2 linked regions of the Macaca fascicularis genome follow. The protein of the gene in region 2 purifies or fractionates together with the protein of the main gene of each other region. This does not show direct contact. Links are inferred from orthologs where the notes say so. Each region holds a gene or a part of one and is shown on either strand. Other genes may lie near its edges. The genes, in order: EMB and SLC16A11.

Region 1 (3,812 bases), on a different chromosome or scaffold from region 2:
AAATTCCTGGACACTTACACTCTCCCAAGACTAAACCAGGAAGAAGTTGAATCCCTGAATAGACCAATAGCAGGCTCTGAAATTGAGGCAATAATTAATAGCCTACCGACCAAAAAGAGTCCAGGACCAGATGGATTCACAGCCGAATTCTACCAGAGGTACAATGAGGAGCTGGTACCATTCCTTCTGAAACTATTGCAATCAATAGAAAAAGTGGGAATCCTCCTAACTCATTTTATGAGGCCAACATCATCCCGATACCAAAGCCTGGCAGAGACACAACAAAAAAAGAGAATTTTAGAGCAATATCCCTGATGATCATCGATGCAAAAATCCTCAATAAAATACTGGCAAACCGAATCCAGCAGCACATCAAAAAGCTTATCCACCATGATCAAGTGGGCTTCATCCCTGGGATGCAAGGCAGATCAACATACGCAAATAAATAAATGTAATCCAGCATATAAACAGAACCAAAGACAAAAACCACATGATTATCTCAATAGATGCAGAAAGGGCCTTTGACAAAACTCAACAGCCCTTCTTGCTAAAAACTCTCAATAAATTCGGTATTGATGGAACGTATCTCAAAATAATAAGAGCTATTTATGACAAACCCACAGCCAATATCATATTTAATGGGCAAAAACTGGAAGTATTCCCTTTGAAAACTGGCACAAGACAGGTATGCCCTCTCTCACCACTCCTATTCAACACAGTGTTGGAAGTTCTGGCTAGGGCAATCAGGTAAGAGAAAGAAATAAAGGGTATTCAATTAAGAAATGAATAAGTCAAATTGTCCCTGTTTGCAGATGACATGATTGTATATTTAGAAAACCCCATCATCTCAGCCCAAAATCTCCTTAAGCTGATAAGCAACTTCAGCAAAGTCTCAGGACACAAAATCAATGTGCAAAAATCACAAGCATCTTATACACCGATAAGAGTCAAACAGAGAGCCAAACCATGAATGAACTTCCATTCACAATTGCTTCAAAGAGAATAAAATACCTAGGAATCCAACTTACAAGGGATGTGAAGGACCTCTTCAAGGTGAACTACAAACCACTGCTCAGTGAAATAAAAGAGGACACGAACAAATGGAAGAACATACCATGCTCATGGATAGGAAGAATCAATATTGTGAAAATGGCCACATTGCCCAAGATAATTTATAGATTCAATGCCATCCCCATCAAGCTACCAATGACTTTCTTCACAGAATTGGAAACAAATGCTTTCAAGTTCATATGGGACCAAAAAAGAGCCCGCATTGCCAAGACAATCCTAAGCTAAAAGATCAAAGCTGGAGGCATCACGCTACCTAACTTCAAACTATACTACAAAGCTACAGTAACCAAAACAGCATGGTACTGGTCCAAAACGGAGATATAGACCAATGGAACAGAACAGAGCCCTCAAAATAATACCACACATCTGCAGCCATCTGATCTTTGACAAACCTGACAAAAACAAGAAATGGGGAAAGGATTCCCCATTTAATAAATGGTGCTGGGAAAATTGACTAGCCATAAGTAGAAAGCTGAAACTGGATCCTTTCCTTACTCCTTATACAAAAATTAATTCAAGATGGATTAGAGACTTAAATATTAGACCTAAAACCATAAAAACCCTAGAAGAAAACCTAGGTAATACCATTCAGGACATAGGCACGGGCAAGGACTTCATGTCTAAAACACCAAAAGCAACGGCAACAAAATCCAACACTGACAAATGGGATCTAATTAAAGTAAAGAGCTTCTGCACAGCAAAAGAAACTACCATCAGAGTGAACAGGCAACCTACAGAATGGGAGAAAATTTTTGCAATCTGCTCATCTGACTAAGGGCTAATAACCAGAACCTACAAAGAACTCAATCAAATTTACAAGAAAAAAACAAACAACCCCATCAAAAAGTGAGCAAAGTATTTGAACAGACACTTCTCAAAAGAAGACATTTATACAGCCAACAGACACATGAAAAAATGCTCATCATCACTCACCATCAGAGAAATGCAAATCAAAACCACAATTTCAAATCAAAACCATCATTCTCAGCAAATATCGCAAGAACAGAAAACCAAACACCGCATGTTCTCACTCATAGGTGGGAACTGAACAATGACAACACTTTGCCACAGGAAGGGGAGCATCACACACAGGGGCCTATTCTGGGGTAGGGGTAGGGGAGAGGGATAGCATTAGGAGATATACCTAATGTAAATGACGAGTTAATGGGTGCAGCACACTAAGACGGCATGTGTATACATATGTAACAAACCTGCACGTTGTGCACATGTACCCTAGAACTTAAAGTATAATAATAATAAAAAAAAATCCCATGTCATGGAGCTATGGATATAGAACATCCACCCACGCTCTCAGAGGCTGATACCACAATAACTTAGAAATGTGGAGGACTATTATAAAAACTATGAATTTAGAGGTGTAAATAAAGAAATTCATGTGACTCTCATAATTCACTCATAATGTGGTAGGCTATCCTTTTGAACTAAAACCTGTGCTTTAAGCTGAGGAACAGAAGCAGAAAGGAAATTGACTTGGGGATACAAGACCATTTTCAAGGTTACCTCTTGTGACTCTGGAAAGCATATGACTTACTTTCAGCTATATTATGTTTATTATTGTAAAAATAATTTTAAAATTACAGGATTGAGAAATCTAAGAACATAGTGCTGAAGTTATTAACTATTCCTCAAGCTATTAATACTGACCTTTGAAATTAAATGTTCCCCTTTGTTCCTTTTCCTCTCGAAAGAAACAAGAATAACTTCCCATTTGTTTGCTATTAATGATGGTGAACCTAAAGATAATTGAAGTTATTAATATAGGCTTAGTTCTCAAAACCTTCTTAATGAAAATGAAAAGACTTAGCCATTAATCAAAATTTTAAAATAGAAATAATTTTGTAAATATGCAAATTAGAATATTAGCATAACATTCAAGTGGCTGCAGAGGGAAGAATGCTCAGTCAGCAAAAATATTTAGAATTAAGCTACTTTTGGCAAACAAGGTAGGTTAAAATTTGTATACTCACCTGTATTGGGTATACAAGGTGCTTCCTGTTGCACTGACAAGATAATTATTCTCAAGTTGTTCACTGTCTTTTTTCCAAGTCACATTTACTGCATTCAAATCCCCAGATGTCGTGAACTGGCATGTGAGATTTACATTAGAAGGCCTTTCTAAAGTGATATTTTTTTCTACTGGCATACTAGAATGTTCTATTAGCACAAAAGAGGACAAAATGTGAAAGTTATATTCAGAGGAATCTAATATATAAAACCTTTTAAATTATTAACTGAAGTGTTTTATTGACAATTTCATTCATTTGAAGAATTATTCCTCTATCAACATAGTTGGTTCCCTTTCTTATTCCCTTTTATATGCACACCTAAAGAAATGTTTTGATCCAACATTAACACAATTTAAAAAAACCTAAAGCTGTGATAGTTATCTCCTTAAGCTCTGTAATAAGCAGAATATAGGGTACAGAGTACTCAATAACATGTGCTGTATGCTCTGACAGTGTAAAAACAGCACAACTGTAAATACAACACACTCATGGGTGAGAATGGAATGCCTGTTTCAATAATTTTGAGTAATCATGTTGTTGGTAGTTATTACGAGAATGTTTTTTGTATAACATGGATTTGAGTGATATATTATATTCTAACCATTCCTAGTCTTCTTAAGAACCTGTAGGGACTGGATATAGACATAGGTACAGGACAGAGAATTTAAATAAGCATCCTGTAGTTCTGAATTTGAACTGAATTTCAGTATCAGT
Region 2 (3,912 bases):
ATACATACATACATACGTAAAAAATAAAATTCTAACCTAAGTGTTTAGAGATTCTGATCTCAAGAATCCTTTCTATTCCCAGTGACCCCTTATTTTAGAATCCTGTGTTTTCTGTCCCTGCAATGGTTCCGCCCTTTCCAGGGCAGTTTGCATCAAGCTGTATCCAGGATATTTCTCTTAACTGTGCCAGATTTTGTTTCAGTTCCAGGATTGTTCTCCCTGTAGGTCCCACAGTTGGACAGACCTAAATTCAAATATTCACACCATTTTTTCCCTGTGAGCTTCAGTTACTGCATCTATAAAAGAGGCACGACACCAGCCGGGCGCGGTGGCTGACTCCTGTAATCCTAGCACTTTGGGAGGCCAAGGTGGTGGATCACCTGAGGTCATGAGTTCCAGACCAGTCTGGCCATGGCGAAACCCCATCTCTACTAAAAAATACAAAAATTAGCCAGGAGTGGTGGCATGTGCCTGTAATCCCAGCTTCTTGGGAGGCTGAGGCAGGAGAATCGCTTGAACCCAGGAGGCAGAGGTTGTGGTGAGCCAAGATCTCGCCACTGCACTCCAGCCTAGGCTACAGAGTGAGACTCCATCTAAAAAAAAATAAATGAATAAAAGAGAGCAACAACTTCTTCATAGGGTTATTATAAGATGAAATGATAGCATGTGTAAACAGTGCCTGGCACATCACAGGTCTTCACTTTGAGAGAGTCCTGTTTCACCCTCTATCCTTGGGGGCCTGTTATTTTATTTATTTATTTATTCATTTATTTTTGAGACAGACTCTTGCTCTGTTGCCCAGGCTGGAGTGCAGTGGCATGATCTTGGCTTACTGCAACTTCTGCCTCCTGGGTTCAAGAGATTCCCCTGCCTCAGCCTCCAGAGTAGCTAGGAATACAGGCTCGTGCCACCATGCCTGGCCAATTTCTTTGTTTTTTTAGTAGAGATGGTGTTTCGCCACGTTGGCCAGGCTGGTCTCGAACTCCTGACCTCAGGTGACCCACCCATATCGGCCTTCCAAAGTGCTGGTATTATAGGCGTGCACCGTGCCCGGCCTGGGGGTCTGCTATTCTAAGCACAGCTCTGGCACTCAGTGGAAGTCTGTGATCTGATATCCGAGGTCTACCTGGTCCTAAGCAATGTTCCTGAAAACAAAACTACTCATCCCCTCAGGCTTTTGGGACCATCCATATTTCCCCGCGTTGGCGGTGGACCCCGGGCTCGGGCTCGCTGGGGTTTGCAATCCACGTGTCTCCCCTGCGCGCAGCAGGCAGCAGGTGCATGGGTGTGAGCAGGGCAGGGCCCCTCGGCATTCATTCCTCTCCACTCCCTCCCCGGGGCTGGGGGTTGTGTGTGTACATAATTCAATCCCCGTGGGACTGGTGTCTGGCCTCACCCGCGGCTTGGCTGATTGGTTGTTTCAGCTCGCCCCCGCCCTCCGTACCCCCGGCGTCCCAGGTGGCTTGGGCCCCTGTGGTGATCTCTGTTTACCGAGAGAGCTTGTCCAAGTTGGGCTCCATCGCTGCTCTCGCTCCCCTTCGGGGCCCCCGCCCGCCTGGGAAGCGGAGAGAAAGCCGGGCCCAGCCCTTCCTCGCCCTTCCCCTCCCCGCACAGCCCGGAGAGGTCGGGTAAGGGGGAAGGAGTGTACGTGGGACGGGGAGCCCCGGGCCTGGGGGATCTGGCTGTCCCCGTCCCGGTACCTCGCGCGGACCCGGGAGTTCCAGCCCTAGGCCTGGCTCCGGCTCCCTCTGCTCTGCGCCATCGCGCTCGGGGTGACCCGCCCACCCCGGGGGAGCAGCCGGAGGCTGGATCTCAGGGATGCCAGCTCCCCAGCGGAAGCACAGGCGTGGAGGCTTCTCTCACAGGTGTTTGCCCACCCCCGCAGACGGCGATGACCCCCCAGCCCGCCGGACCCCCGGACGGGGGCTGGGGCTGGGTGGTGGCGGCCGCAGCCTTCGCAGTGAACGGGCTGTCCTACGGGCTGCTGCGCTCGCTGGGCCTTGCCTTCCCTGACCTTGCCGAGCACTTTGACCGAAGCGCCCAGGACACTGCGTGGATCAGCGCCCTGGCCCTGGCGGTGCAGCAGGCAGCCAGTGAGGCGGGCTCTGAGGCGAGAGACGGGAACGGGGAGGAGGGGCTGTGAGTGGAGGGATGGGAGACCCCCCTGATTACCCGACAACCTGAGAAAGGACGACCGGCTCTAGAAAAGAGTGCATCTTAAGGTCAAGGAGAGGAACCATTAGTTCGAGGGAGGTAAACAGCCAATGAGAGGTGTTGGAGAGAGTTTGGGGGCCCGGGGGCGTGTCTTTTATTGACTCCGCCCCCTTCCAGGCCCGGTGGGCAGCGCCCTGAGCACGCGCTGGGGAGCCCGCCCGGTGGTGATGGTTGGGGGTGTCCTCGCCTCGCTGGGCTTCGTCTTCTCGGCTTTCGCCCGCAGTCTGCTGCACCTCTACCTCGGCCTGGGCCTCCTCGCTGGTGAGGGAAGGGGGATGCCCGGGTCATTCAGGGTGAACTGGGGACAGGAGCTTATGGGACTGGGGTAGCGAACGAGGCGAGGGCCTGGTGCGGAGAGCAGGACTGGGAATGCTGGCGAGGGCGTCCCCAGTGCCGGCCCACATCCCCTCCCATTCATTCGCAGGCTCTGGTTGGGCCCTGGTGTTCGCCCCTGCCCTAGGCACCCTCTCGCGTTACTTCTCCCGCCGTCGAGTCTTGGCGGTGGGGCTGGCGCTCACTGGCAACGGGGCCTCCTCGCTGCTCCTGGCGCCTGCCTTGCAGCTTCTCCTCGATACTTTCGGCTGGCGGGGCGCTCTGCTCCTTCTCGGCGCGATCACCCTCCACCTCACCCCTTGTGGTGCCCTGCTGCTACCCCTGGCCCTTCCTGGCGACCCCCCAGCCCCACCGCGTAGTCCCTTAGCTGCCCTCGGCCTGGGACTCTTCACACGCCGGGCCTTCTCGATCTTTGCTCTAGGCACAGCCCTGGTTGGGGGCGGGTACTTCGTTCCTTACGTGCACTTGGCCCCCCACGCTTTAGACCGGGGCCTGGGGGGATACGGGGCAGCGCTGGTGGTGGCCGTGGCTGCGGTGGGTGATGCGGGCGCCCGGCTGGTCTGCGGGTGGCTGGCAGACCAAGGCTGGGTGCCTCTCCCGCGGCTGCTGGCCGTATTCGGGGCTCTGACTGGGCTGGGGCTGTGGGTAGTGGGACTGGTGCCCGTGGTGGGGGGCGAAGAGAGTTGGGGGGGTCCCCTGCTGGCCGCGGCTGTGGCCTATGGGCTGAGCGCGGGCAGTTACGCCCCGCTGGTTTTCGGTGTGCTCCCCGGGCTGGTGGGCATCGGAAGTGTGGTGCAGGCCACGGGACTGGTGATGATGCTGATGAGCCTCGGAGGGCTCCTGGGCCCTCCCCTATCAGGTAAGGACCTGAGCTCGCAGATCTGCCTACAACTATCCTCTGCCCCTGGGGTTAGGGTCTTCTAAATTCCCTTACCCATCTCCTCAGGCTTCCTAAGGGATGAGACAGGAGACTTCACCACCTCTTTCCTCGTGTCTGGCTCTTTGATCCTCTCCGGCAGCTTCATCTACATAGGGTTGCCCAAGGCGCTGCCCTCCTGTGGTCCAGCCTCCCCTCCAGCCACGCCTCCCCCAGAGAGGGGGGAGCTGCTTCCCGCTCCCCAGGCAGTCTTGCTGTCCCCAGGAGGCCCTCGCTCCACTCTGGACACCACTTGTTGATTATTTTCCTGTTTGAGCCCCTCCCCCAATAAAGAATTTTTATTGGGTTTTCCTGAAACCTCCAACTGTTCACCCATCTAGGACCCTGAAAATATTCTACTTAAGACAGCCAGAAAGGCTGGTTCAAAGGAACAGGATCCCAGGAGGCCCTGGGTATGAAGAAGGGCGACTGTCTGTCCAGGCAACCCA

What was found.
Region 1: the proteins of SLC16A11 (region 2) and EMB purify together in Homo sapiens (co-immunoprecipitation; 3 studies listed by BioGRID and IntAct, counting the BioPlex papers as one, with this or other methods). This does not show direct contact. The link is inferred for Macaca fascicularis from reciprocal best matches to the Homo sapiens genes SLC16A11 and EMB.

The regions. Positions count from the first base shown.
Region 1 is NC_088380.1:55,705,063-55,708,874, forward strand, and holds part of EMB (embigin), read right to left. Parts: intron 3,247-3,812; coding exon 3,060-3,246; intron 2,826-3,059; coding exon 2,737-2,825; intron 1-2,736. UniProt on the Homo sapiens protein: Plays a role in the outgrowth of motoneurons and in the formation of neuromuscular junctions.
Region 2 is NC_088390.1:7,078,650-7,082,561, reverse strand, and holds SLC16A11 (monocarboxylate transporter 11), read left to right. Parts: upstream 1-1,485; 5' UTR 1,486-1,642; exon of another isoform or gene 1,643-1,730; 5' UTR 1,731-1,891; coding exon 1,892-2,093; intron 2,094-2,331; coding exon 2,332-2,475; intron 2,476-2,638; coding exon 2,639-3,406; intron 3,407-3,493; coding exon 3,494-3,723; 3' UTR 3,724-3,781; downstream 3,782-3,912. UniProt on the Homo sapiens protein: Proton-linked monocarboxylate transporter. It catalyzes the transport of pyruvate across the plasma membrane.